2 linked regions of the Caenorhabditis elegans genome follow. The protein of the gene in region 1 purifies or fractionates together with the protein of each later gene. This does not show direct contact. Each region holds a gene or a part of one and is shown in the gene's direction. Other genes may lie near its edges.

Region 1 (14,927 bases):
GCATTTCGTCTCCTCGTCCTTTTTGTTGATGGCCACGAGAGCAGTGAATGATTTCTGAAATTTAATTTATTACTCAGTCGCGAAATTTTGCGCGAAACTACGGTATCAGGTCTCAACACGAAAGATTTTTGTTGAAGGCGAGAAGGTGTGCGCCTTTAAAGAGTACTGTAATTTTTGTAAATTTTGAATAAATTGACAAAAAAAGTATGGGAAAAACATCGATTTTTCATCGTTTTTCTGTCGAAAAAAAATTCCAAAAAGTGAAATTACAGGAATTTTTTTCGACAGAAAAACGAAGAAAAATCGATGTTTTTCCCATACTTTTTCTGTCAATTTGTTCAAAATTCACAAAAATTACAGTACTATTTAAAGGCGCACACCATTTCGAATCCAGCAAAAATCTTTCGTTTCGAGACCCAAAACCGTATTTTTGACGCAAAAATGACGATTTTTTACTTGATATTCCTTGTCCTTATTGGCAATTTCCAAGCACACAGACTGTACATAATCTGACATTCTTTTGATTTCCTGATCAATTCTCTTGGAAAACTCCTCTTGGACATCACTAGACTTGCTTTTTCTCATCATATCCGTCATCTTGTCGAGCTCCTGGAATTATTTGATTATTGATTGAAAAAATAATATGGAGACGCAGAAAAATGCGCCTTAAAATTTAAAAATCAACGTGGAAATGTGCTCCGCCTCCAAATTATCGGTCTCGTTAGGTATACATGGCGGCAAAACTGGAAAATTCAAAAAATTCGAATTTCAATTGTTTTATGTCGAAATTGATGAAAAAATTGTTTTTAAATGCATTTTTAACGTCATTTTTCCGTAAAAATCACGAAAAGCAACAGAAAACTTCTTCAAAGATTTTGTCACCAAATATTTTCAAAAATCAAAATTTTTCGATTTTTTTAAACGATTTTTCGTGTTCCGAGGAAAAAAAATTGAATTTTCACTAATTTCCGAAGAAAAATTAGTTTTTTAAATCGAAATCCACTTTTTTTTTTGATAAATTCATAGTATTCTTCCATTTTTTCTCCTAGATTATCTCTGAAAATATCCGAAAAATCGAAATTTTGACCGCGCACATCGATTTCAAATATCAAATCAAAATCACCGTGTGGAATGTCTTATATGTCGATGCAAACCGAGCATACCACGCATTGGTGAGCCCAAACGACGATTCGAGCTCAATTCTCAGAAGAGAAATACTTGTAAGCTGGCTTGCGAAGTTCATTCCGGACTGAAAATTTACAATTTTAAGTCTTTTCTTTACAAATAAATTTTTTAAATATACCGCAACCGGGAAATAAGCCACAGTCTCGTGGCCCTGTGTGACATGAGATCGCAGTGCACAACTTCCACAAAGCGCCAACGATTTGATATCCAAATCCACCTTAAAAAATCATTTTTCAATTTTTTTTTTTTTTTTGAAATTGGATATTTTCCGGACCTCGGCACCCAAATTCTCCACGACGTCGTATTTGAAGGCATCAGTGACGCAATTGCGGCAGACGAACATGCTGGAAATTGAATTTTTTTGTTATTTCTAATTAAAAGAGGCCTACTCCGATTCGTTGTCGTATTTGGTGCATTGAGTGCAGTCCACTGCATTTGCAGGCTTCTTTGGCTTCTCACGAAGCTTTTGGATCATGGTCACAGCATCTGAAAAATAGTTTTTTTCGGGAAATATGAATATTTTTAAAACTTGTCAATGCAAAGTTTTTTGTTCGCTTCTCCTTGCTAACCACGGCCTGAAATTATTTTATTTTTAAACAGATATCAATATATTTAAGCCATACGCGGCATGTCGGGCATTGTGTCTGGCCACCAGATCCATATGCGTCAGAATAATCGCTTTTCAAGTGCACAATGCAAGTTTCGCATAGAGAATGGCCACAAGATATGATGAATGGAGCCTTTTGATCATCTGAAAATAAAAATGTGCTTGTTTTACAATAAAAATTGGGATATTTTTCACCAAATTCTTCCTGGCACACAGGGCAAGTCGGGAGTTCTTCATTAACATCCATTTTTCTCGAAAATTCTGAAAAATAAAGTTTTTTAAATTAGAAAAATCAATATTTTTAAATTTTCGTTATTTTTAATCGTCGAATAATTGAAATTTTCGTTTAAAATTAAGGAAAAACAATTTATACAATTTATATCCGGAAAAATTAATGTTTTTGCAAATATTTGAGTTTCAAGCGTTTTCGCTTCAAGTCTCAAGGAGGATAATGTGCTTGCGCCTTTAAAAACTACAGTAAGACCTTTGTTTATTTCGTCATCGAATTTCAATGTTTTGAATCAAATTTCCCGTGATTCCGGTTTGATTTTCACAATTTTATTATGTTTTTACACTATTTAATGAATTTTAATTCAGTATATAATAAAATCCATAGATTATCCACACTGAAAATCTACCAATACCGTCAGTTTCTCAAAAAAAAAACATTTGCCCAAAAAATGCCTGTTTTCCATGGAAATTCACATTGATTTTTAATTTCACAACGTTTTTTTTGCCAATTTCTTTCCAAAATTTCTCAAAGTACTTTCGCAAACTAATCGTTCACTTTTGCGTCATGGCTCTGTGCACTGGAAACTAATTTCAAACGACGCGCGCATTGTCTTGTGCGATGGAGCGCGCTTGCTATTTTCTAAAAAGTGCTCAGTATTTTTGAAGCTTTATGGTTTTTCCTTGTATTTTGCATAATTTTAAACATTTTTCTCGAGAAAAAATATTCGAAAAAGTAGAAAACGGCTGAAATTTGGTTGTTTTTAATTTTTTCCCTCGTTCCTCAATCTTAAAATCGAAGATTTCGTCATCTCTCACTGTTTGCGCAGTGCATGATTATGATAATTAAATTCTATTGCAGAAATGTGGCGATTATACCGAAAAACGCCGAAGCAGCTGAGAAATTCGGTCGAATCATGCTTCAAATCTGTCAATTCCCGCCAATTTTCAGTCAGCTCATTTTCAGCAGTAGCCAAAGATGATGTAATATTACCGCCTGCCAGTATACTGAAAATTCTGAATTTTTTTGCAGAAATCCGTGCTAAAACAACAAGAAGTTCTGCATCTTCTCGCAAAAGATCAGCGATTTGAAGAGCGATTCTTCAATCAAGTACAGCAGACAATTCGATATTTCGCCTCGAAACCAAATGATTTGAAAAAGTTCTTCAGGAAGGAAGCATCGACGGATAATAAAGGTTTTCAGAGGGAAATTATCATTAATTCGAAGTTTTTTCCAGAATCTTCATCATCTTCTGACAAAAAGGACAGCAAAGGAAATAAGGGAGAGGATAATAATCCGTTTAATCAATTGTGAGGAGGAATAGACACAAAAATCGGCTAATTTTGGCTAAAATCTGAAATTTCGCCCAAATTATCATCATTTAGATGCTTTTCACCACGTTATTTTGTTTATTGAAGTCTCGGAGAAGCCCCGGAAATCATTTCTAGTCGAATTTCTTTGGAGTATTTCAAAAAATTGACTTTTACAGGTTTCCCGGGCCGTATTTTGAACTTTTTGGCAAAAATTGTCCCAAAGATCCGGAAAAAACTTGTAAAATCCAATATTTTTAAAATAAATTGGTGATTTTAGCTAAAATTAGCAGTTTTTTTAAAAAGTTTTATTGGCAGAGCAAAAACCGTGCCAGAGTTGCAAAAATTGGCGTTTTTAGCATTTTCTCCATTTTTCCAGATTTTCAAAAATCGAAAATTCGGGATTTCGGAATCATTTCAATAAAATTCAAAATTTAATGAAATCACGAATTTTCCAAATCGTTGAAAAAAAATTCCGAGAAAAAAAAAACAAAAAAACGCCCATTTTTGCAATTCTGGCACGGTTTTTTGCTCCGCCCACGATGTTTTTGAGCGGGGCACCACGTTTTCAAGATCTACGAGAAGAAGATCTACGTTTTCAGGATCTGGCACCGTGCCAAGTGCAGTTTTCGCAGTTTTCTCGAAGAAAATCGAAATAACGATGCTCCGATATTACGCATCGCGAGTTGTTTAGCGTTTTTCAGAAGTTTTTATTCAAAAAAGGTTTTTCTGACTAAACAACGTGCGATGCGTAATATCGGAGCATCGTTGCTTTTTCTTCGAGTAGACTGCGAAAACCGCAGTTGGCATGGTGCCAGATCCTGAAAATGTAGACCTCCTTTTCGTAGATCTCGTTTCCGGCTAGATCTTGAAAACGTGGTGCCTCTTTTGAGCACATTTACCTTTTCTAAGATTTAAAAGTGGGGTACCGAAATCTGGAAAATATTTTCAAATGTCTCCAAATTTTCTTCTCATTCCAAATATCGATGTGAAAAAAATCAAAACAATTTTCTAGATTTTATATGATTTTTTGAAAATAGGAAAAATCACAGTTTTCACCTAATTATTTTTGAATTTCCGCCAATTGGATTTGTTCGGTGGAGCGTGCTTGCAGTATTTTTATCAATTAATTTTTTTAAATTCTTGTTCTTTGACTGATTTTCTTCATTTTCTATGTTTTCTCCTCGGAAAATGGAAGAAATAAACAAGACAAATGCAAAATTCTTGTTAAAAAGTAATTGAAAATGAGTAAAACTGTGAAATATACTAATTTCAGGCTTGTTGCCGTCGGAACTCAGAATATCACAGTTTTACTCATTTTCAATTACTTTTTAACAAAAATGTTGCATTTGTCTTTTTTATTTCTTCCATTTTCCGAGGAAAAAACATAGAAAATGAAGAAAATCAGTCAAATAACGAGAATAAATAAAATTAATAAATAAAAATAATGCAAGTGCGCTCCACCGAACAAATTCAATTGGCGGAAATTCAAAAATAATTAGGTGAAAACTGTGATTTTTCCAATTTTCAAAAAATCATATAAAATCTGGAAAATTTTTTTGAATTTTAATATCATGATATTCGGTCAATGTGACCCCATAGGCGCGTTTTAAAGCAATTTACCCACTGAGCGTAGTCCACCTTTAAAAAAACGGAGAAAACCTCTAAAACCCCTTAAAATCAATCTAATTCCTCCAATTTTCAGCCCAGGAGGATGGCAACAAATTGCCGTTTCAGTTGGAATTCTGCTCGCTCTCTACGCCTTTATGGATTATCAGTCGTATCGTGAAATTTCCTGGAAGGAGTTTTACAGTGATTTCCTGGAAGCTGGACTTGTCGAGAGACTTGAAGTAGTTGATAAGCGATGGGTTCGAATTGTTAGCTCGTCTGGAAAGTATGCAGGAGTTAGTTTTTTAGTTTTTGCACTGAAATTCGTGAAAAAATGAATTTTTTTCTTTCAGCAAACGTGCTATTTCAACATCGGAAGTGTGGATAGCTTCGAACGGAGCCTCGGAGCTGCTCAGCATCATCTCCAGTATGATGCTGATCGACAAATTCCGGTTTTATATAAATCTGAATTCAATTTGTAAGGATTTCTGCAAAAATCACTCCATTTCAAGAAAAATTAGAGAAAAAAAGAAAAAACCCCCGATTTTCTTAAAGAAAAAGCTCTGGGAAATGGGAAAAGTTATAATTTTTGCATGAAAATTCAGAAAAACTTTTAATTTTTCACATTTTTTGTAGTTAAAATTTTGTTTTTAAAGTGAAAACCTTCAGAAAGTCACTGAAAATGAAAATTTTGCACAAAAATTATGGAAAAAGTTGCTTTTTGCTCGTTTTTTGCACTAAAATTTCAAAAAAAAAATCCGATTTTTCTGATTTTTTGCCTGAAAATTTCAAAAACAAAAATTAATTTTGCTGGTTTTTTGCAGAAAAATTTTTAAAAAAACGCAGTTAGGCTGTTTTTTGCCTAAAAATTCGAGAAAATCTCAATTTTGCTGAATTTTTGCACTAAAAGTCTTTTAAAAAATCCGATGTTTCTGATTTTTTGCCAAAAAATTCAAAAAAAAAAATTTTGCTGATTTGTTGCACTAAAATTCCAAAAAAAACTCAATTTAGCCAATTTTTTGCACTAAAATTCCAAAAAAATCCGATTTTTCTGATTTTTTTGCACTAAAATTTCAACAAATATCAATTTTGCTGAATTTTTGCAGAAAAAATTTAAAAAATCGCAGTTAGGCTGTGTTTTGCCTAAAAATTCCAAAAAAAAATCCGATTTTTCTGATTTTTTTGCACTAAAATTCCAACAAATATCAATTTTGTTGAATTTTTGCACAAAAATTCAAAAAAAAACGCAATTTAGCTGATTTCTCGCACTAAAATTCTTTTAAAATTCTGATTTTTCTGATTTTCTGCACTAAAAATTTGAAAAAATCCAATTTTTCAGGCATTTTTACATTAAAACTCCCCCAAACTTCAATTAAAAACCTTTTTTTTTCAGCAAACGCGAAATCCCAAACCTCATCAGCGTCGCATTCCCTCTTCTCTTCGGCTATTACATCTATCGAATGCTGAAAGGCGGTGGAGCAGCTGGCGGAGCCGGAAGAGCTGGTGGAGGTGGACTCGGTGGAATGTTTGGTGGATTCGGACAAAGCACGGCTAGAGTCATTAATCGAGAAGATATCAAGGTGAAGTTCGCCGATGTTGCCGGTTGTGAAGAGGCAAAAATCGAAATTATGGAGTTTGTGAATTTCCTGAAGAACCCCCAGCAGTACAAGGATCTTGGCGCGAAAATTCCGAAAGGAGCCATTCTAACAGGACCTCCTGGAACCGGAAAGACACTTCTCGCGAAGGCAACCGCCGGCGAGGCAAATGTTCCATTCATCACTGTATCGGGATCCGAATTCCTGGAAATGTTCGTCGGAGTAGGACCTGCAAGAGTCCGTGACATGTTCTCAATGGCTAGAAAGAACTCTCCGTGCATTCTATTTATTGATGAAATTGACGCAGTTGGAAGAAAACGTGGTGGAAAAGGTGGAATGGGTGGACACTCTGAACAAGAGAATACTCTGAATCAGCTTCTCGTTGAGATGGATGGATTCACAACTGATGAATCGTCGGTCATTGTGATTGCCGCCACGAATCGTGTGGATATTCTCGATTCGGCACTCCTCCGACCTGGTCGCTTTGATAGACAGATCTATGTTCCAGTTCCAGATATCAAAGGTCGTGCTTCAATCTTTAGAGTTCATCTTGGACCACTTCGGACTTCCCTCGACAAGACTGTGCTTTCACGAAAACTCGCCGCCCATACACCAGGATTCTCTGGAGCCGACATTTCGAATGTGTGCAATGAGGCTGCGCTGATTGCGGCGAGAGATGCGAATCACGAGATTTCAAATAAACATTTCGAACAAGCCATCGAACGAGTCGTCGCTGGAATGGAGAAGAAGACGCAGGTTTTGCAGAAAGAGGAGAAGAAGACTGTAGCCTATCATGAAGCTGGGCATGCTATTGCTGGATGGTTCCTACAGCATGCGGATCCTCTGTTGAAGGTTTCTATTATTCCACGAGGAAAGGGTCTCGGATATGCACAGTATTTGCCGAAGGAGCAATACTTGTATTCAAAGGATCAGTTGCTTGATCGGTAATGATGATGCAGTTTTTAAGTTTTTATTTTTCAAAAAAATTTCCAAGAAAAAACTGTTAAAAACTGTCAAAATCGCGATTGGAAACACTTTAAAATCGTGATTTCTGGATATTTATAGTATCAAAAAGTGCTTTTATGAGATTTTCCCGACAATATTACACTTATTGCTTGATCGTAGTTACAAATTGTGCAAAATCGTGATTTCTGGAATTTTTTGAATCACGAAAACGTGATTTTTAAGCAAAAAGGTCCCCAAAATTTCACTTTTATGAAGCTTTGGCGGCGGATATGCACTCTAAAATTTTTTAATTTAATTTTTTTTAATCATAATTTTGAACCAGGAATAAGTCGACATTAGTTCGAAATTTAAAAAAAAAGCTCAAACAAATAGGAAAAAAGCTAATTTAACTTTTTCTCCCCAAATAATAAAAATCTTAATATTTTATTCAGAGAATTGAATTTTTTCGAAAATTTTTAATCTTTCCCTTCATTTAGGATGTTTTCCCAAAAGATTTCACTGTACTGATAAATTTTTAGCTGAAATTTTTCAATTCAAAATCAATATTTCTGATTTTTTTCAATTATGCATATTTCAAAAAATATTGTTTTTTTTTCGATTTTGCGATTTTTTACCAAAAAAAGAGCCAAATTTTGTTGGCAAAAGAAAACCTTTAATTTTTCGATATTTTTCAAAATTTTTAAAAATTTTTCAGAATGTGCATGACACTCGGAGGTCGCGTCGCCGAGGAGATCTTCTTCGGACGAATCACAACTGGAGCACAAGATGATCTACAGAAAGTTACACAAATGGCATATTCACAGGTTTGGTTTATTTTATTTTACAGCTTTATTGAGACGGAGCAAAAGTTGCAAAAAGTATTCGAATTTAATCTAAAACCGGCGATTTCTTGTCGAGAGCCTCTGTCAATCCTTCACAAATCGTCGACGCAATGCCAGTGTCCGGATCCACGTTGCATGTGCATTTGACTGGAGCCGAGCCGCTGAGAGCCGTGAAAATAATCAGAATTTGGAGAAGAAGAAGAAGAAGAATCAGTTGAAATTTCATGATTGAATGGATGGGGGAATGTTTGACTGAAGAGCTCTGAGAGAGCAGCTTTATCTGACATATGAAGTCGATTATGTTTTTGTTTCGGCGGGAGGAGAGCCAAGGAGAAATAGTGTGTGAAAAATGGAGAGTTCAGGCAAATACCAGAAGACATGTGTGAGCTGCTTTCCCGATTGAAACCATTTATTTAGAAGAAAACAGAAAAAGAATAAGATGAAAAGAATAGGACAAATAAATTAGATTGAAAAACAAAGAATGTAGGCACTCGAATAAATAGCTTAATGACGCTGAAGCAGGTTGAGCAGATGCTGTGGAGTTACGTATTGTCCACCACCACGACCATTATTTGGCGAGCCATTTCCGAATTGGATGCTTCCTTGGTCGCCGTTGGTATTTGGCTGAAATTTGAGATTTTCGGATACTAGATTCCGTGGAAATAGATTTCCCGAAAGACCCCGCCCATTTATTGACTTTTTCGGGGTTTTTTCGCTACAAAACTAGGTATTTTTAAGGAGGAACAGTTGGAAGGAAGCAATTTTGGCAGAAAATAGGCGAAAATTTGGTTTTTCGGAGATTTCATTCCGTGGAAATAGATTTCCCAAGAGACCCCGCCCATTTATTGGCCTTTTCGAAATGTTTTCGTTTCAATTTTGAAAAACGGGCAAATTTGTTGGCCAAAAATGTACAAGAAGGCATTTAAAAGAGAAATCTCAAAAACGATACTTATGACTCCTTGGAAGCAAATCCACCAAGAGGCCCCGCCCATTTATTGGTATCTAGCATTTTCATCTCGAACTGAATTTGTTTCAAAAAATGGCCGGAGCTCTTTAAAAAACATGTAAAGAGAAATCTTCAAAACGAATCAGACTCCGCCCATTTAATGGCTATTTCTAGAATTTTTTCGCTACAAAATTTTGTATACAAAACTGTGTGGAGATTGTGACCTTTTGAGGAAAAAAAACGCGAAAATTGCAATTTTTCAAATAGTAAAATGCACTCACCACAAAAATGACGTCAACTCTGTCCAATCCTTGATTAGTATTTGATGCTCTTGGCTGATTCTGCTGATTCGACACAAACGGATAACCATCTTGTGTTGTGGTTGTCGTCTGTCCATTTCTCTGATTATTGCATTCATCCAGGCGGTTTCGGAGACTTCTCATTTCGTTTGTCGTCTGTGCAGCAGCGTTTCGCAATTCATCCACAAGGGCTTTGTTTGCCCTATTGGCGTTCTTTTCCTTTTCAAGTTCATCACGAGCATCTTTGGCGTCATCTTCTGCTCTTTTCTGACGTCTGTTGGCTGTCTCAACTTCGTCCTTTGCTCTATCAAGATTCGCGTCCGAGGATGTTAGTTTAGCCTCCAATCTCATCACGTTTAAATCGAGTTTCAGAACTTGATTTTGACTCTTCACAAGTTCTGCAGACTGGCTATCGAAATTACGTTTCAAACTGACCATTTCTGCTTCTAATTGTCTTTTTTCCGCTTCGAGCTCATCTGCTTTGTCAACCTCCTGAAAAAAGGTGTCCTAATTTTTTCGAGGTGATTTGAGATTACCGCACCTTTTTAAACTTTTCCACCAGCCTATTATACTGGGCTCCTGTGTATGTCTGTTGTGCGTTTGGACCGCTGTAAAAAGGTGGAAATTAAGAAAATTATCGTGAATAGATGCACCGAACTTTTCTGCTTTACCATGAATGTCTTAAAATCACTCAAAAAATCACTTTTTGCTTAAAATTTGCCTTTTTCCTTATGGGGTTATTCAAGTAGTGTCGGAAAATTAAAAAGTGTAGAAAAATTACGTCACAACCTTATTCAAGTATATAAAAAACATGTATTTAAATACATTTTTGACGTCACAAATGTATTTTAATACATTTTGCTACATTACTTGAATAACCCCATTAAATTTTTGGGAATTTTTGGAGAATATTATTTTATTCATCCCTTTAAAAATTTTCTGAATCAATTTCGATTAAAAAAAAATTTTTTAAGCAAAATGCCGATTTTCTGAAAAAAAAACGTTTTTTTCGGAAAATTTTTTTTTTTAAGTATCGATCCTAACCAGATGTGCCGCCGAAAAAATTTTCCATTTTTCCATTTTTTTATTGAAAAAGTGCAAAAAGCCAAAAAAAGTCCTACATACCATGAAAAAATTCCAAAACGTTGATTTTCTTGATTGTTATGAGCTAAAACTCGTATAGTTTAGGGTATTTTTTACTGTTTTGAGCTTTTGAAAAAAAACAACTTTTTTTTTCTAAATATTTAAAATGTGTTTTTTGGCATTAAAAAAATAATAACCTGGCCGAAGCTGCACGTGGTGCCAGGCTGTCCCATTACGACTTGATCTACAAGAAATGCGGGAATTTTTCTCCCAGATAAATGTGACGTCAGCACAGTCTTAGCCATGCGAAATCAGTTAAGAACTCTGCGTCTCTTCTCCCGCAATTCTCGTAGATCAAAACGAAATTGGTGAAGATGTACAGCTGAATTTCTCGGAGCAGTCATCAGTAACAAGGGTGTCATTTTTCGATCTTTTCGATTTTTCGGTGAAATTCGAAAAATCGAAAAATTGGAAACCGAAAAACGAAAATTTTCGATTTTTCGATTCTCTGGTAAATCGAAAAATCGAAAAAAATGTTCCAAAAATTAACCATAAAATATGATTTTTTATCTAATTTTGCTTATATTGATAAGAAAAAACCTTGAAATTTCTTCTAAACCCAAAATATTAAGCTAATTTTTGAAAAATCGAAAAAAAAACTTTTCCGATTTTTCGATTTTCTGAAAAAAATCGAAAAGTCGACACCAGGGGTGGGCATTCTTGATTGATTGATTTCTTGACATTTTGTCAAGAATCCCTCCTCAAGAAATTTTTAATTCGAAATTTAGGCTGAATTATTTTCCAATTTTTGTAATTTTCAGAATAAAATAACTCAAAAAACATCATAAAACCCGATTTCAGTTGAAAGAATGAGGATTGCAGAAAGAAATTCAAAAAGATTGACAACATCTTTATCGAAAAATGAATAATTTTGCACGTTTTGTCAATTTTTGAAGTTCCTTCTGTTGATATTCGTTTAAAAAAAAGTTAAGACTGAAAAATTGAACTATTTCTTTCAATTTCGTTCAAAAATATTAGCCGAATGAAATTTCTTGATTTTTCTTGATTTCTTGATTTTTTCTTGACATTTAAAATCAAGAATTCTCGATTGATTGATTTCTTGACTTTGAAAAAGTTTTCCCACCCTTGATCAGTAACACTCTTTTATCGAAAAAAATTACTAATTACTATGCCATATCAAAATCCGAGATTTAATTTAAAGATTTATCCCTTGTAAGTCAGAAAAACCTCACCCTCCTTGAAGATTGTGCAGTGAATTCATAATACTGGCCAATTGAGTTGATGTAGATGCTCCTAGAACGGCATTCTTCGAATCATTTGTAGCATCAGAGGAGACGCAGGCAGCGATGAGAATAAGAAGTATGATCTTCATAGTTTGTTGAGATGGTTGATATTAGAACGTTCGTCGGGATTCCTTATATAGTAAGATTCGGTACCAGGCAGTGTGCGGGAAGAGAATGAGTCAGTCAGTGGTGTCGGGCAGTGTGAAATTACGGATGTATCATTATTATTATTATTATTATTCATACTACTATTGTAGTATACATTACATTGCACAATTGCTGCACACAATAATACAAAGACCTTTTTCCTTGCAGGTCGTCAAGTTTGGAATGAGCGAAAAGGTCGGACCGTTGTCGTTTGAGACACCAGCTCCGGGAGAAATGGCATTTGATAAACCGTACTCGGAGGCCACCGCACAGCTCATTGATCAGGAGGTAGGATTTTGGTAGAAAATTAGTTTTTTTCTACGAAAAAATTGGAAAAAATCGAAGAAAAATGATATTTTCTGATAGTTTTCAGAAAAATGGCAATATTTTGAAAATTTTAATTCAAAATTAATTTATAATCTGTGGGCGGACTTGCCGATTTACCGGAAATTTTTAATTCCGGCAATTTGCCTATTTGCCGGAAATTTAATTTCCGGTAATCTGTCGATTTGCCGGAAATTTTAATTTTCAGCAGTTTGCCAATTTTCCGGAAATTGTCAATTCCGGCAATTTTCCGGTTTGCCGGAAATTTTCAATTCCGGTAAATTGCCGATTTGCCGGAAATGTTCAATTCCGGCAATTTGCCGTTTGGCAAAAATTTTAAATTCCGGCAATTTGCCAGTTTTCTGGAAATTTTCAATTCCGGTAATTTGCCGATTTGCCGGAAATTATAGTGTTCAGCAATTTGCCGATTTGCCGGAAATTTTAGATTCCGGTAATTTGCCGATTTGCCGGAAATTTTCAATTCCGGCAATTTGCCGATTTGCCGGAAATTTTCAATTCCGTCAATTTGCCAATTTGCCAAATTGCCGGAAATTCTCAATTCCGACAATTTGCCAATTTGCCGGAAATTTTAACTTCCAGAAAATTGCTGATTTGCCGGAAAAAATCGTTTGCGCGAAAATTTGACTTTAACCGAAAAATCCAATTTAAAAAATCACCCAAAACTATATTCGATTAAAAAATACAAAATTTTCAAAATTGCCGGAATAAATTTTTCAAAAATTCAATTCATTTTTAGTTGCTAGAGAAAAACTACAGTTTTTAAATTTCTCAAAAAATGATGCGTTCAAATAAAATTTCAAAATTTTCTGGTCCTGGAAAATGTTTTTTCTGAAAAATGTTTTTAAAATTCATGAAAACACTAATTTCAAAAAATTTTCTAGAACGTTTTTTTTTTGGCGTTTCGAAATGTAGAAAAAAAAATGTAGAAAATTTAGAATATTAAAAATTTTAACATTTCCAGGTCCGAGATCTCGTAATGAACGCACTTCGCCGAACCCGTGATCTATTATTGGAAAAGAGAAGTGATATTGAACGAGTCGCATTGAGACTTCTTGAAAAAGAGATTCTTAATCGTGAAGATATGATTGAACTTGTTGGAAAAAGACCATTTGTTGAGAAGAATACGTACGAGGAAATGGTCTCAGGTACCGGAGGACTCGATGAAAATGTTGAACTTCCGAAAGGTCTCGAAAATTGGAATAAGGAGAGTGAGAAGAAGAAGAAGGACGAGGAAAAGAAGAAAAATGATGAATAATTTGTGAAATTTTATTTTTGAAATTCTGGCGAAAAAATGGGGAAATTGCACATGTTTTGCTCTTTTTTCTGAAGTTTCAAATTTTTTCTCTCAATTTTTGAAAAAATAGACTTTTCTAAACTTTGAATAGCTTTGTCGCAGTAAAAAAAATGATTTTTCAATGTGAAAATGTGAAATTTTTGACTACATGGAGCATTTTCTGTGACAAAGTGCATAAAAATTTAGAAAATCCAATTAAAAAAATAATAAAATGCCAGAAAAAAAACCAAATTTCACTAATATTTTTTTTCTGATTTTTTTCTGTGCGACCGGATCTCTTCGAATTTCTTTTTTTTTTCTAGACTCAATTTTTTCATTTTACTGTTATATTATATTAGTTTTGTAGGATTTTAGAGTTTTTCACCATCTTTCTTTTTTTTTCTAGCATCGATTGGTATCACTTTTTCCAATATTCTTCTCTGTTTTTTTTCATTTATTTCTTGTTTTTTTTTCGTCGACATAAGGTGAATTTTTTTTTGTTATTTAGACCTTGTAATTCGACATTTCGTGCATAAAAATCTATAATTTTCTATTTTTTTTGCTAGCCTTTTTTAAAAAGTTTTACCGCATTTTTATTGCTTCTATACTTTTTTTAAAATTATACTTTTATTCAAAAAAAATCAAAATTTTCAAAAAAAAAGAAATTGGGGGAAATTTGATGTTTTTTGATCGGAAAAAAACCAAATTTCCAAAAACAAAATTTTTTTTTTGGAAAAATGAAAAAAAGTTTAAAATAATCGATATAAAACCAAAATCCGATTTTTTTAGATTAAAAAATAAGCTTTTTGGATTTAATTTAGAATATTAAAGACTTTGAGCTTTTTTGCTGAGAAATCAATCAAGATTTTCTGGGTAAAAAAATTCAAAAACTGAAAAACCACATTTCACGAAATAAAATTCGAAAATTGTGTGGAATATAAAAAATACCAGAGATTTATATGAATAATCAATATTTCTGAGAAAAATACCTAAAAATTCAAAAAAATTCAAAATAGACTTCAGAAAAAAGCCACAAACGGAAACTGAAAAAATCCAACTTTTAAAAACTCGATTTTTCATTTTTGGCTAATTAATTTCCTCCAAAATGAGCACTGCGACCAATCAGCGATTTGCTCCGCCCATTTTTCAACCAATCAAACGGAGTGGGCGGAGTTCGAAGACGCTGATTCTCATTTTGGAAGGAATTAA
Region 2 (15,359 bases), 8.4 Mb from region 1:
TAAAGTATATCTCTAATCTTGATGGCGTCATCAACCGTGAATTCTTCCATTTTAACCTCAAAACCCGACAAATGGAAGAGATTTTCAATTGGGAAAGTAAAACGGTGATCCCAGACTCGAAGTTTCTTAATCTTCTTCCACTGCTCCAGCTCAAAAAGAGCCAAGTACATATCCATTGTTTCATCAACATAATCATCATAAATACTGTTCCACGTCCTTCTTATTGGAGAGCTCATCAATGCCAATTTCTTCGAGATCTCCCGGTTTAAAATGGGAAACGACTTGGGTAATATCTTGCAGGTCCAGCATGTCAATCGTGAATTTTTTAGCACTAATTTCCGCCTCCGAAGCTTTGAAAGTCTCCTTGAAATTCTCATAGCAGTTAGCAACTTCAAATCTTTCAGTGAATTCATCATTGACCTCCACTTTGAACTCTTCCAGCTTAAGATTCGGATTTTTCAATAGAATCGCCACGTCGTCCAATGGTTTCTTCATATATTCCTTATTGCGAATTTTTTTATTCTTCCGACACGTATACGATCGATAATCTTCGTCATCGTCATCATGGTACAACTCCAATCGATCGTAGCCCATGCTCATCGAGATTTTTTTGATGCCAGAATTGCGATTGTCGATGATAGATCTCAAGTTTCGAGACACATTACGAATAGGAAATCTGAAAATTTGGGTATTAACTATTTTTAAAAATTAAGTAAGCATTGAAGACTGACGTTTCAAATGGTTTCATATCATCCAGAACTTTATGAACAATTTGGATAGGCATATCGGGCAGGCTGCGACTTTTTGGATCATAGCTGAAAGTTATTTTATTTTGTTTAAGGCGCTCTCGCTAGCTTCCCTCATATTTTGAAATGTAAGAGTTTGCCGAACTAGGCCATTTTGACTCGGTCATGCCTGGGGTAGATTTACGGCGCGTTGCGTGTCGCGTCGCGGCTCGGTTAATTACCTCATTTCACAGTCTAAATCAGCATCTCCATTTCCGATTTGATAGTACCAAAAGTCGAATTCGCGATATTCCATCAAACCGTATCCGAGAACATTACAAAACGAGTGATATGCACTATAGACAGACTCTTTCTGAAGATACAGGAACAGAATACATGAGCGAATGGCAATTTTGTTGTTTCGCAGAAGATTCTTCTTTTCTATTATTTTTCTGGAAAATGCATATTATTTAGAGTTTAAACTAAAGAAGCAACAAACTCGTAACACAAATCCATCGATTCGTCGAATTCAGAACAAGAGCAGGAATCGGACTCTGACATTGTACTCATTGGGGGAGTCGAGTTTGTGGATTTGTGCTTAAAGGTAGAGTGAGGCCAGTGGGGAAATTGCTTTAAAACATGCCTTTAAAAAATTCAAAAAATTTTTTTCTAGATTTTATATGATTTTTTGAAAATTGGAAAAATTTTAATTTCCCCCTAATTCCTATAGGTTCCTATTTGAATTTCCGCCAATTGGATTCGCTCGGTGGAGCGCGCATTTAAAAAACACAGAAAATGAAGAAAATCAGTGGAATAATAGAAATAAATAGGAAAATAATGAAAATCATGCAAGCGCGCTCCAACGAACGAGTTCAATTGGCGGAAATTTAAATAGGAATTAGGGGAAAACTGCGATTTTTCCAATTTTCAAAAAATCATAAAAATTTAGAAATTTTTTTTGAATTTTTTATCATGATATTCGATCATTGTGGTACCATAGGCATGTTTTAAAGCAATTTGGCCAATTTTGAGCGTTTTTTCAAATGTTTCAGCTGAAATTATTGTTATTTTCAGATAAAACAACTAAATTTCAATGAAATATGTTGAAAAAACATGGCAAAATAGGTATAATTCTGTAGAATTTTCATGCTTATTTTAATTTTAAGTTCACTCAAATTAGGCCGAAAAACGAGCTAAAATTTGCTAAAGAACAGTCGGAACGCCGTGTTTTTTTTTTCGAAAAATAACAAGTTTCGAAAGTACCACTGTGGGAAATATGAATGAACTCAAATATAATAAGAAGAAATATCAAAAAAAAAATCGAACTAACAATTTTATTGTTTAAACTTTAAACAAAAACTTAACAAAGGCCGGACATTAATTATTGTTTTCTTTTTTAATCTCAAACGAGTCATATCCAAAATTGATTTTGAAGCGAGATCCCATTGTTTTATAGATGATTGAGCCACTTTGTTGTGCAACGTTTCGGTTGAAAATCTTCACAAATTGGTAGGGCTTTTTGATGTGGCTTCTGACGATTCCGGATTGAAAAGAAGGGGAATTCTGGACGATCTGAAAAAAAAAACAGAATATATAACGAAAATCCCCGGTGTTTTAGCATACATCTCTGATCTTCTCTGCATCTTGAATCGTGAATTTCTTCAAACGAATCTCGAAATGCGAAAAATGCGACAACGTCTCAATTGGAAAATGAATCGAATCATCCACTCCGATTTTGACTTTTTTTCGCTTTCTGCCAGTGCTCGAGCTCGGTGAGCGGCTTGTAAATTTCCATATTTTCCTCAAATACTTCATCATCGTCAAATTCTGTGTCTTTGACAGTCAAATGTCGAATTTCAATTTCCTCGAGAACTCTTGGCTTGAAGCGAAAGAACATCCATTGCGCATCATGAGGTTTTAACATTCCGATCGAGAATTTTCGGACGCTGTTTAACTGAACACGCAAAAATAAGAACATCATTCGGAATTTCCCATTCAACTCCCACCGATTTCTTTCGTCCGGATCATTTCCAAATCTTAATTCGAACTCTTCCAATTTATTATTTGTCGTGATAGTCTCCAATTGATCCATAGCATTTTCCAAATATGAGTTACTATCCTCATCTTCATCACTTTTTCTAAACTTTTGTTGAAGACTTTCTTGATTATTCAACTTCAAGCGAGCTTCGCCGTCGTTCACCTCCATGGTAACTTTTTTGATAACAGGATAATGATAGTCGAAGAGAGATCGCAGATTCGAGGAGACATCACGAATAACGAATCTGAAATTTTTTTTTTTTTTTCATTTTTCTGCTGATTTCATAGTAGGATATACCTTTCCAGTGGAGGAATATTTTCCAAAATATTGTGAACAATTGCGAGTGGCATATCGGAGAGACCGCGGCTTTCTGGATCCCAGCTGAAAGTTATAAAGTACTACGAATTGCCAATTATGATAATTACCTCATTTCACAGTCCAAATCAGCATCTCCATTTCCAATTTGATAGTACCACAAGTCAAATTCCCGATATTCCATCAATTCGTCTCCGAGAACCCCACAAAACTTGCTGTATGCCTCGAAAACTGGAATTTTTTGGAGATACAAGGACAGAATGAATGCTCGGGTGGCAGATTTGCTGTTTCGCAGGAGATTTGTCTTTTGGACCCGTTTCCTGAAAGATATAAAAATAAACTTTTTAAGAATGGCAGAAAAAAAAACATACTTTTCAATCAAATCCTTTAATTCGTTGGATTTTTCATCGCGTCGAGATTGAGCGATGGATTTCGGCATTTTTTTCGTTTAAAACTGCAAAAATTACAATTTAAATTGCGATTAAAATCTAGTTTTAACGTTTTTCAAATCAAAAAACAATTTCAAAAAATGTTTGCGCGTGAAATCTTGTGTATTCTACGCAATAGGCAACACGAAGTGTATTGCGTACTTCGCCGACTACAGTAGCCCGAGAACTTTTTAATCAGGATTGGGCATGTTTCAGCTGAAATAAATGTTATTTTCAGATAAACCAAGTGGATTTTCTATATTTTGACACAAAATCGCTATGAAATATGCTAAAAAACATGGCGAAATAGAGAATTCTGAAGAAAAGTCGAAAATAATTGTGTTTGAAGCTTTTTCCCGATTTTCATTTAGTTTTTTCATGAAAATATGAGAAAAACAATAAAAATACTTGTTTTTTAAAATAAAACTGGGTAATGACATAAAAAAGAATTTATTAGAAAACAAAGTTGCGGAATATAAAAAAAAAAACTGCACCGAATCAAAATGTAGAACAAAAAAATATCGTTTTAACAAAAAAACTCAGCAAAAAATGTCGATTTTTTCATTGTTCTCGTTTAAATTCTTTTAAATTCAATAGAAGAGTATCCAAGCCCAATTTCGAAGCGAGAATCCTTGGTTTTATAGATAATTGGACCATTTTCACCGCCAGAATATTTCGGGTTGAACACCTTCAACATGTTAGTGCCTCCTGGATCTTTGGAGAATGTGATGATTCCGGATTGAAAGTGAGCGGTTTGCAGGAGAACCTGAAAAAATAAGTGAAATTACGAACATTTTTAAAATTTAAAAATTTAAATTTTAAATTACATCTCTAATCTTGATAGCATCATTTTTCGTGAATTTATTCAAGGAAATCTCAAAGTTTTCCAAGTGAAAAAGGGCTTCAATTGAAAAATCCAACGAATCATCCACTCCGATTTTGACTTTTTTCGCTTTCTGCCAGTGCGCGAGCTCGGTGAGCTGCTCGTACATTCCCATATTATCCTCAAAACTGTCATCTGAATCATCATCATATCGAGGACACCTGGGATACTTTGGGTACTTGTATCCAGTGCAGAAATATTCAATTTCAATGTCCTCGAGATTTCCTGGCTTAAAGTGAGAGAACGCTGCCTTCGCATCATCCGGCCGCAATAGTTCAATTGAGAATTTCTTGGTATTCAGAACAGCTTTTGAAGCTTTAAACATATCCGAAACATCATCATACAGCCCCCATCGATGTTTTTCGCCGGCTTCATCATCGAAATGAACTTCAAATTCTTCCAATTTATGATTTTTCGTGAATTTCGCTACTTTTTCCAATGCAATTTCCAAATATTTCTCATTTCCATCATTTCCATTACATGAAAACGTTTTTTCCAGCTCCTCATGATTTTCAAAAAATAAAATCGCTTCTTCGTCTTGCACCTGCATGTAAACATTTTTGATGACACGGTAGCGCTCGTCGAAGAGATTTCTCAGCTTCTTCGACACATTTCGAACCACCATTCTACAATTTTTAAATTATTTCTGTAATAATAAGGCTAAAATAATCACCTTTCCGCTGGCAATAGCTTTTCCAAAACTGTATGGACAACCGTGTCGGGAAAATCGGTGAAAATCGGACTTTTTGGGTTGTAGCTGAAAGTTATTATATGGAAATAATCACTTTAAAATTGAAAAACCTCATTTTACAGGTCAAATTAGCATCTCCATTTCCAATTTTATAGTACCAGAAGTCAAATTCCCGATATTCCATGAAATCGTCACCGAGAACTTCACAAAACGTGTCGTATGCCTTCAAAACTGGAATTTTTTGGAGATAAAGGGACAGAATGATTACAATACATTTATAGATTATTCGTTTCTTCGTCGTTACTGTTGAAGCGGTTGGGGAGGTTGGAGCCGTTGTTGTTGCTGTTGGAGCTGCTCGGAGGGCCGACGAATCTGGAAGAATAAAATGCCCTACGGGGTTTAATTTTCGAAATTGGTCTACAATAAATAAAAAATGACCTGAAAAAAAATAGTAATTGATTCGAAGGTACCGGTCCTGTCGCGAGCCGTCAATCCCGACCATCCTCGTCATTGATGCATCCCGACCATCCTCGCCATCGATCTATACCGACCATCCTCGTCATCCTGAAAAGTTAAATTGTTTATACTATAATAAATGTTATTAAATATTGTTGTGCTTTAAAAAGGGTAGGACCCCTCCAAGGAATCTATGCAAAAATTTTCTGGGCAAAGTGACATTTTTTAACAGGAAGCCATGTCTACGCCGCTTAGGATGACGACGCCTCTTGGTGTATCCTTATCATCCGACCTGAAACGTGCCTTGCAAGACAATGAGAAGCTGACAAGGGACGTGAGCGATGCAAAACTTTTGAAAGAAGATGCTGAAATAAAGCTGAAAAAAATTAGGGATAAGCTTAATGGAGAGCACTCTGAGAAGTTGGGAAAGTTGAATGATAAGTACAAGGTATATAATAGAGATAAGAAATTGCTGAAATAGATAATATTTTAGGCTGTACAAGAAGAACTGAAAACGATGAAACAGAGTTGGACGCAGTTGAAACGGGAGAAAGGAGTTTTGGAAACTGAAAACCGTCGTTTGGAAACTGCAAAAAGGGAATTAGATCGGCAACTTTCAGGAAAAAATGATGAATTACGAATGGCAGATGTGGAAAAAGTCGAAGATGTTAAGATGATTCGGGACCTGAAAGCAGGGAAACGGCCACCTTTCAAAACTGAATTCAAAAATCTCATCAGCAGGAGCGAGAAGTTTAGGAGAATAGAGATAGCGAGAGCTGAACTTCAGCGATGTGGTGAGAAATACCTACAAATACAGTTATTTAAAGTGATTTTAGGCGGCGAATCTTCTGAATTTTACCGCCTTCTTCTTGGAAGATTGAGTAAGTTGGGTCTTCTGAAATGGAAGATGTCAAAGAGGGAAGGATTATATCTCTATCACGCCAGCAACCTCACGAGAAGACGATTCACCAAGTTGAAACAAATGCTGCGAGGAAGTGGATGTATCGATCCATTGCCATCTATTCATGAGATCAAAAAGCTGGAGAAAGTTGTTGGCTCCTCGGATCAATTCAAGGTCACCGAGCATACCGTTGACGGTAAATCCGTGGTCGCCGTTCATCTGCTCGACGTCGTCAAAATGTTAACTGAAAGGATTAATGAATTAGTTGCTAATGGAAAGATGGTAGTTGGAGACGATCCTATTTGGCTTACGATCCTCGGCGATAAAGGATCAGAAGAATTCAAGTTATGTTTGTCAATTGGAAATGTCTCCCAACCTAACAGCTGTTTCCATCTAATTCCACTTGGCATTTTCAATGATGACGAAAGCAGTGAAAACATTCGAAAGTATCTAGGTCCCATCGTTGAACAACTCAATCGATTATTATTCCTAAAGATAAAAGTAGGCGATAAGGACATTGATGTACCTGTGGAGCAGTATCTTGGGGGAGATATGAAGTTCCAATGCGATGCTATTGGTCATGAGGGAGGAAACAGTACCTATCAGTGCATGCAGTGCTTTTCGCTACGAGGGCAGTCGATCAGCAGGTACCTTCGCAGATACAACATTGAGCTCAGAACTCCGGATGACTACAAGAGAGATAGCTCCAAACCGTCCAAGCCATCACATCATGTCGCAAGAAGAAACGTTGTACAGAATTCCAGCTTCTTGTTCGATCTCATCAGTTTGTTCAACGTGATTCCTCCATCCTTGCATATCATCATGGGAGTAGCCCAGAGATTCGCGTTTGACTACCTGATTCTTTGGGCTGCAAGGTTGGATAACCCCTCCATGCAATTAAAAAGGGGTGACATCAAGAAAACCAGGATCTCGAAGGCAGTAGTCAATGATAGAGCTGAAAAACTGGAGGAGCTGGAAGAATTTCTTTCAGGAACAAAATGTGCTCTTCAGGTTGTTCAAAATTTCAAGGATCGTCAAGTCAACGGGTACAAGTCACCAGCCGAGCCGTGTAGAGCAGCGATGTGCTTGTTCAAGGACAAGACTATGAAACTGGCAACTTCATACGATGGGCGCAAAGTGGACTGTCAGACTTGTTCCAAGTCTGTACACGGCGTATGCTGTGGGCTGTGGGACCCTGAAAGTTGGAAGCTTACCACTGAAGATTCTCCTGACGTGGATTGCTTCGAGTGTCGATCCATGACGGTGAATCGCATCGAGATGGAAGCTGAATCCACCATTGCACATCTGGAAAATGAGAAGAATAAATTGATGGAAGATTTGAGGTTGGAGTATTTATATTTTCTTTAAAGAAAGCATTTCAATTTACAGATTAGCTCAAGCAGAATACGATAGTCTCATCCAAACCGCGGGGGGGGGGGGGCAGAACAAAACGAGAAAGCGGCTTGAGGAAATTTGGAAACGCCATGGTGCTGATATGTCTGCCTGGCAGCAGAATTTCACAGGAAATCACACGCTAAAATTATTGGAAGAAGCTGCGGTCCTCGACTATCTAGGCATTTTTCCTGCTGGTTCAGATCGTGACGGCATCGCGACTTTTCTCATTTCACTTGGCAAATTGCAAAAACTATGCGTTGCCCGAACACTGAGTGATGATGAAATTAAACTAATGGATCAACACATCGTAAACTACACTAGCTTCTTTATAAATATAAATAAACTATATTTCAGAATGACCTTTGGGAAGCCCTAAAAAGCTACGCTCCTGATGACGTCGTCACTCCAAAGCTTCATGTGCTCTTGGAGCACGTGATGCCGTTCGTAAACGCAAAAAAGACCTGGGCGTTGACTAGTGAGCAGGGTATCGAGTCTCTTCACTCGTGGTACAACAAACTCAATGCTCAAATCCGAACTTCTGCAAAGTTATCTACGCGGGCAACATATTGCTTTAAAATGATTTTCATTAAATGTTACGTTTATGCCACATGCGACTACATTCGTAATTAAGTTAGTTCGATGTCGTTTTTCTTGTTTCACTAACCATTTCTCTGCGTTCCGTTGACTTTCCAATTGTTTCCGGTCCGGTTACTTCTCAGAAATTGATAATTGTTATTTGTTATGTTGCTTGACCTTGTTATATAATTTTTTGCGTGATTTATTTCATTTTTGCATTCAGTATTTGTTTTTTCCCAACAAAACATGTTTTGCTTTTTAAGAAAATACTTTTAAATTTAGCATTTCAAATTTTCAGGGTGAAAACCCTTGTTTCGAAACTTACGTAGTGACTCGACGGGCTTGTTGATCTGACGTTTGTTGTTCTTTCTGAAGAAACGGAGGCTCTTGATGAACTTGACGTCGACAGAGAGAGAGAGGAAGATGTGCTTCCTTCGCTTTTAGTACTATTTTAGCACTCTCAAATCTTTCTTTCTTGGATCATAAATTAAAAGACGACCATTTGGACGATGCTCGAAGAGATCCAGAATGGAATCACGATCATCGAATTTTGTTGATGATTCGGCGAAAATGATTCTTCCATCGAGAAGAATATCCAAATCATTCAAATATTTGATTGGAGCAGCATTTTTGTTGTTTGCAGGCAGTTCTCCAGCTCCGAGGATTTTCACAACTTTCTCCTCTTGCCAATTTATTGCGAACAATCCCAAATACGCATCAACAATGTCCAGCTCGCCGACGTCGCTCAATCTGAAAATATTTGTTCTAATACAAATTTATAAAAAAGCAAATCATGAAACCCCGACATTAATTTTTTTGTTGTACTCGTGAGGAATCGAAATTGCATGTCTTATCTTATCACAATGATAATAAAGAAAGATCGCCGGATCTATATCTAACCTCGAAACGGAGGTTCTTGATGAACTTGGCGTCGACTTCCTTCTATGGAGAGGAAGATGTGCTTCTTCGGCTTCGTGATCCCATTACGGTGAGCCTTGTTGTTCCGGTTGTGATTGGTGTGATTCTCGGGCTTCCATGCATTGTGTGGCCTGCAAAATTTGTACTTTTCACTTTGCAATTCGATTTCAACACAAACCTGTGAGAGCTACTTGAAATTCTCACTCTCTCTGGACGATCTCGAACTCTCCAATGTGTTCGTGCTCACTGCGGCCCGGAAAAGGACAAAACCCTGAAAAAAACGTTGCTCAGATAAGGAAAAGACGGATAAAGAAAGTATAAAACCGAAAAGTACATGTAAAGCTTATTAACATTATCGTTTTCATCGAAAACATATATGAAACGGCTTCATTCGCCCAAAAATCCGTTTCCTCTCGATAATTCTGAAAATTAAGCGAAAAAAAACGAAAAATTGGGTCGATTTTATGAAGTAAAATACGATTTAAACATAATGATGCAATTAAATTCGAAAAAATCATCTGAAAACTATTAAAAATGCGATAAAAAGCAGAAAAATATTGCAAAATCGGTACCTAAATTTCATGCAGCAAAGCTGCTCTAATGAACTCTCGCCTCTGTGACGTCACGATTTTTTGAAAATTTTTTCCGCATTTTCTCGCAATGAGTCGCAATGAGACAGATTGACACCACGTGATTTCTCAGCTTCTTGGACACATTTCGAACCACCATTCTACAATTTTTAAATTATTTCTGTAATAATAAGGCTAAAATAATCACCTTTCCGCTGGCAATAGCTTTTCCAAAACTGTATGGACAACCGTGTCGGGAAAATCGGTGAAAATCGGACTTTTTGGGTTGTAGCTGAAAGTTATTATATGGAAATAATCACTTTAAAATTGAAAAACCTCATTTTACAGGTCAAATTAGCATCTCCATTTCCAATTTGATAGTACCAGAAATCAAATTTCCCGATATTCCATCAAATCGTCTCCGAGAACCCCACAAAACGTGTCGTATGCCTTCAAAACTGGAATTTTTTGGAGATAAAGGGACAGAATGAATGCTCTGGTGGCGATTTTGCTATTCCGCAAGAGAATTGTCTTTTGGATCCGTTTCCTGGAAAATTTACAATTTTTAAATAGAGTCAAAGGAAGAAACAAACTTTTCAATCAAATCCTCCATTTCCTTGGATTTGCCATTGCGACGAGAGCGGGCAGCAGACATTTTGCTCGTTTCAACCGAAAATTAGCTGGAAAAAATAATATTTTCGACGAAAATTGCGATAAAAACTGGTTTTCCGACAAAAAAACATTTCAAAAAATTGTTTGCGCGTGATGTCTTGCGCACGCTACGCAATACACTCCGCGAAGTGTATTGCGTACTCCGCCGACTACAGTACCTCGGGGAACATTTTTATTGCGTTTCTCAATTACTATAATATACTGGGAAAAATAATCATTTAAAAAAGTTAAAAAACGCATTTTTGTGGAAGAAAATCTTTTTTTTTTATAAATTGAGAGCAGATTGCAACGAGCTAACTGTATGACAAAGTTTTATCAGTTTTAAAGGTCAGTTTTCTGAAATTTACATGCTCTTTTTGCCTGCCCTGAAATTGTTCAATAATTCTAAAACAACATTTTAAAATCATAACATTTATTCGAAAAACACAAAAAAAAATCAATTCTTAACATCAATTTCCGCTTCCTCATCGTCGGCACGTGGCTGGTAGATTGTGAACATGAGTTTGAAGCTGAAAATATATTTTTTATTCGAATAAAAATGGGAAATTTGCTCACTCCAAGTCTTGTTTCGCCTCTAAATTCTCTTTCGACGGATTCGTATCGCATCGTCTGATGAGGCTTTCGTACTGGCGCCACGTCACACAATGATGCATATCCACTGGTTTTCCGCGCTGAAAATCGGATTTTTAGTGCTCAAAAAATCACAGCAAAAATCGATAAAACCCTACCGGAGGCGCCATAAGCTCTCTTGTGACAGTGTTATACGGCATTTCTCGGGCTTCATTCCTAAAAAAATCGATTTTTAAACGTAAAATTTAGGAAGAAATCGGGGGTCCTACAAAGCATCAGTCACACATTGTCGGAATTTCGAGCAAAGTTGTTCACGGGTCGACTTTAGAGTCTCAAATGCCACCTCACGGGCTCCATTTGTGTCGCCAAGAGACTCCACGTAGCTGGAAAAAAATTGACAATTAATTTTTAACTGGTTTCAGGTTTCAGGCTTACTCGCTAGAATCGGTAGCTTCTTCGAAAGTTTGGTCGAGCTCCGGGGCTCCAAGTCCGGCCAGGCAGATCAGGAAATCTGGAAAATAGATTTTTAGTGGATTTTGGATTTAAAGAAGGAGAAAATAGCTCAAAAATCTTAAAATTTCGCCAAATTCCAGCTAAAATCTGCAATTTTTCATTGTTTCAGCGATTGAAAACTGATTTCTTGCACTTTTCCGGTTGAAAGTTGAAAAAAATACGAAACATGGACCTGAAAAAGAGCAAAATTGGTGATTTTTGGACATTTTTTGACGGAAAAATTACAAAAAATGCCTAATTTCAGCTAAATTTTGCACATTTTTGGCACTTTTTAAGTAAAAAAGTGGTAATGTACTACAAAAATTAACAAAATTCAGAAAAATTCATAATTGTTTTTTTTGTCCGGCTTGTCTCATTTTTCGCCGTATTTTTTCTTTTTTCTGAATTATTGAAGTTTCTGGGATTTTTTTCCTCTCTTTAAGAAAGAAGAAGAAGAAGAAGCCGAAAGCCTAAGCCTAAGCCTAGGGATAAGCCTGAGCCTAAAGTCTAAGTCTAGCCTAAGCCTTAGCCTTCTTAAAAAATCAGAATCTGAGATTTTCGCTAAATTTAGACGTTTTTTCGAATTTTTTGAGCGTTTTTCCCAATGAAATTCGAGGTTTTTGAGCTTTTTTCTGAGCTCTTACGGAGCAAAGTGTGCACAACATGCGGTGGAATGTCCTGAAGCCATTTTTTGTGCGAAGTACCGCTTTGTCTGAGGCTGTAGTGCCAAATTGCGCATTTTGGCTGGCATGCCTGGAAAAAATCGACTTTTTAAACATTTTTTTTTTTTTAATGCATTTTTGATTTTTCCAACCACAGCAAAGTAATTCTTGATAATCTGCTTGCTTTTCCCGTTCAAATCTCCACTTTTTCGAAAAACCACAGAATTATAGATTTCTAAAAGATCCATTTTCCGGAAAATCTCAGTTTCCTGGATACAATGCTCGCCGGCTCGGATACGTGAAGATGAGAAGTCTATGGACTGTAGAGATGATGACGTGGCACTCATTGTGTGAATTTTGAATTTATAATTTTCAAATTTCTCGCGAATGCTTGACATTGAAGTTTTGAGCAAATTCCACTGAAAAAAAACCAGTTTTTTTTGTTTTTTAGGTGAAAATTCAGATAATTTCTTGGAATTTCGTACCAGAAATGCATTTCCAATGACTACAAGTCTACTATCAATTGTTCCAGTGCTCAGCTCTTCGGACAGATTCCAAATGCTAATATTCGCCATAGTTGGCACATTTTTTGCGAATTTTAGTGTTAGCTCCTTCAGTTTTTCGTCATCCAGTGTTTTTTCAATTATTCCATCGGCAATGATTCTTCCGACCTCTTCCACATTAATTTCAGGCTGTTCCAGTTGTAATTCTAGGTCTTCTGAAATGAAAAAAATTATTATTTTTCTACTTTCTCAAGTAAAAATTTAAAAATTGAATCACCTATCGGAGATCTTTCTAATTTCTCTTCAAGTGCCGCACGTATCGAGTTTTGACTGGTTCCAGGACGCTTTGCTGGGAGATCTGAAGCATTTTCTGGTATTTTATCGATTTTTCGAAGCTTTCACAAGTTTTACTAACCATTAAACCCACCCACGTCTTCTTTTGAGCGTTTTCTATTCATTGTTCACAAAAAAATCTTGGAAGAATTACTGTAAAATCTACAGAGAAATGGATAAAAATTTAAAATAAAGAATGTCCACGAGGAGTACAAAAATTGATTCGAGAGAAGTACACTGGAGAAAGTTAGTCGTGGAGCGCGTTTGCATTAGGATAATTTCAACACATTTTTGCATTTTTTTGGCAAAAAGTGTATTTTTAAAGTTAAAACTTGCTTTTTTTTCAATTTATTTCTTTTATTTTAAACATTAGAAATAAAATTTAAACCCGTACAGATTCAAAATGAGCTCGGACAATGAAATTGAAGACCTGAAGCGAGCATTTATTTTTGCTTTACGAAAAAAGTGAGTTTTCTGATGAAAAAACTCAATTATTCCTTCATTTTCCAGATTTCCACGTGATTCCTCTTCCTCCATAGCAATTGCGACAGTGAATTTGATCAGAAAAATCATTTTCCGCGAAAATCCAAAGACAATGAACGATTTGCAAGTTTCGTTGGCAAATCACTGCAAAAAGCTTCACGGAGCCGAGCGATCGGAGCTCATTATTATTAATATCGGCTTAATGATCACGAAATTGGCTCGAGACGAAGTTCTTCAGAAGAAAGGCGGCGGAGAGCCGGAGCCACTGTATACGCTGTGGAGAGATGACGATGAGACGATTAAAAAGCTGAAAACAGCTGATATGAAGAAGATTAAAAAAGATCTTCAGGCTTCCATTAAGGAGGTAATGCTGGGAACTGGAAACCAGAAAAAAGTCGCTAAAAAATGAAAATTTCTGCTCAAAAAAATCGATTTTTTTTTTTAAAATTTAGAATTTTCAACTAATTTTTCTCATAAAAAATGTAGATTTCGATGATATTAATATCAAAAAAAAGGGAAAATTATAATTTTTATTCAAAAACTACACATTTTTAATGCAATTTTTTCATTTTCAGCTAGTAACGGAAATCGAATCATCTCGTGAATGTATTGCATCTCAATCAACGGAACTTTTATTCAATAATGATGTTGTACTAGTTCATTCACTTCGTTCATCTCAAACAATGCACAATTTCCTATCACATGCCGTCAAATCAGGCCGAAAACATCGTGTAATTGATGTAGTTGATGAAGAAGAACATATTGAATCAACTCCTGACTTTGCAACTGCAATTGAGCTCTATGAAGTCGCCTCGAAGATGCCTGAAGCCTCGAAAGTTGTTCTAGTCGCTGCTGCTTATTTCCCTGATGGATCATGTCTTGTACCTGCTGGTGGACATCAAATTGCACTTCTTGCCAAGAGGCATTGTGTTCCAGGTGCTTAAAATGCCCGTTTTTCTAAAAAAGGACTAAAAAATCGGTTAAAAATCAGTTTTTTTTTCTAAAAAAAATTTAAAATCGTTTTCTGAAGACTTTTCTATTCAAAAAGTGCTTAAAATTACCTTTTTTCCGAAAAAAAAAATCAACGGAAAAAATTTAATAAAGCGAATTTTTCGAGAAAATCAGCTAGAAATCAATTTTCAACTTAAATTTTATAATTTTTTCGAAACTATTAGTGGCATTTTTCAACAAAAATTAAATTTAAATTAAAAAATAAAAAATAAAATTTAAATTTAAATTTAAATTTTAAAAAATTAAAGAAAATTTAAATTTCTAGAAAAAAATAAAATTTAAAGAAAAAATTTAAATTTTAAATTTCAAAAAATTAAAAAAAAAAGTTCAAAGAAAAAATTTAAATTTCTAAAATAAAATAAACAATTTCAAAAAAATTAAAGAAAATTTTAAATTAAAAAAAATTTTAAAATTTAAATTTTAAAATTTTTTTAAAACAATTTAAATTTCTAAAAAAATCGAGTTTTAGAAATTTTAAATTTTCTGTGCATATTCTGGCCATTAAAAAAAAAGCATTCTCATTTTGGAAGGAATTCAACAAAAATTGAAAAATCACTTATTTTTTTCGATTTTCTTTTTTTTTCCTAACTTTGAGACTATTTTGAGTATTATGAACGAAAAAAATGGAAAATAATAATTTTCCAATTTTTTCAGTCTACGTGCTCGCTCCATTCTACAAACTGTGTCCATTCTTCATGACAAATCCGGATTCCCTGCACACATTCCGCTCGAATTCCC

Evidence for each region.
Region 2: the proteins of spg-7 (region 1) and Y47H9C.9 fractionate together in Caenorhabditis elegans (co-fractionation; one large-scale study listed by BioGRID). This does not show direct contact.

The regions. Positions count from the first base shown.
Region 1 is NC_003279.8:3,464,250-3,479,176, forward strand, and holds spg-7 (AFG3-like protein spg-7), read left to right. Parts: upstream 1-2,882; 5' UTR 2,883-2,884; coding exon 2,885-3,004; intron 3,005-3,053; coding exon 3,054-3,216; intron 3,217-3,258; coding exon 3,259-3,331; intron 3,332-3,872; exon of another isoform or gene 3,873-3,938; intron 3,939-5,036; coding exon 5,037-5,235; intron 5,236-5,292; coding exon 5,293-5,417; intron 5,418-6,332; coding exon 6,333-7,478; intron 7,479-8,194; coding exon 8,195-8,303; intron 8,304-8,408; exon of another isoform or gene 8,409-8,527; intron 8,528-8,715; exon of another isoform or gene 8,716-8,825; coding exon of another isoform or gene 8,826-8,945; intron 8,946-9,548; coding exon of another isoform or gene 9,549-10,058; intron 10,059-10,107; coding exon of another isoform or gene 10,108-10,174; intron 10,175-11,902; coding exon of another isoform or gene 11,903-12,042; exon of another isoform or gene 12,043-12,051; intron 12,052-12,268; coding exon 12,269-12,388; intron 12,389-13,406; coding exon 13,407-13,700; 3' UTR 13,701-14,267; downstream 14,268-14,927. Other genes in the region: Y47G6A.14 (RING-type domain-containing protein), read right to left, coding at 1-54, 457-609, 1,124-1,249, 1,304-1,402, 1,460-1,529, 1,575-1,671, 1,715-1,760, 1,809-1,936 and 1 more; Y47G6A.15 (DUF148 domain-containing protein), read right to left, coding at 8,826-8,945, 9,549-10,058, 10,108-10,174, 11,903-12,042.
Region 2 is NC_003279.8:11,891,892-11,907,250, reverse strand, and holds Y47H9C.9 (Zinc finger PHD-type domain-containing protein), read left to right. Parts: upstream 1-5,774; coding exon 5,775-5,984; intron 5,985-6,029; coding exon 6,030-7,780; intron 7,781-7,826; coding exon 7,827-8,139; intron 8,140-8,186; coding exon 8,187-8,462; downstream 8,463-15,359. Other genes in the region: fbxa-216 (F-box domain-containing protein), read right to left, coding at 4,081-4,272, 4,334-5,015, 5,063-5,146, 5,191-5,311, 5,354-5,591; Y47H9C.12 (Mos1 transposase HTH domain-containing protein), read right to left, coding at 10,286-10,442, 10,489-10,550; Y47H9C.8 (NACHT_N domain-containing protein), read right to left, coding at 11,004-11,076, 11,123-11,238, 11,296-11,353, 11,407-11,520, 11,573-11,648, 12,274-12,382, 12,444-12,710, 12,777-13,009 and 2 more; eif-2Bbeta (Translation initiation factor eIF2B subunit beta), read left to right, coding at 13,531-13,592, 13,638-13,974, 14,186-14,546, 15,276-15,359.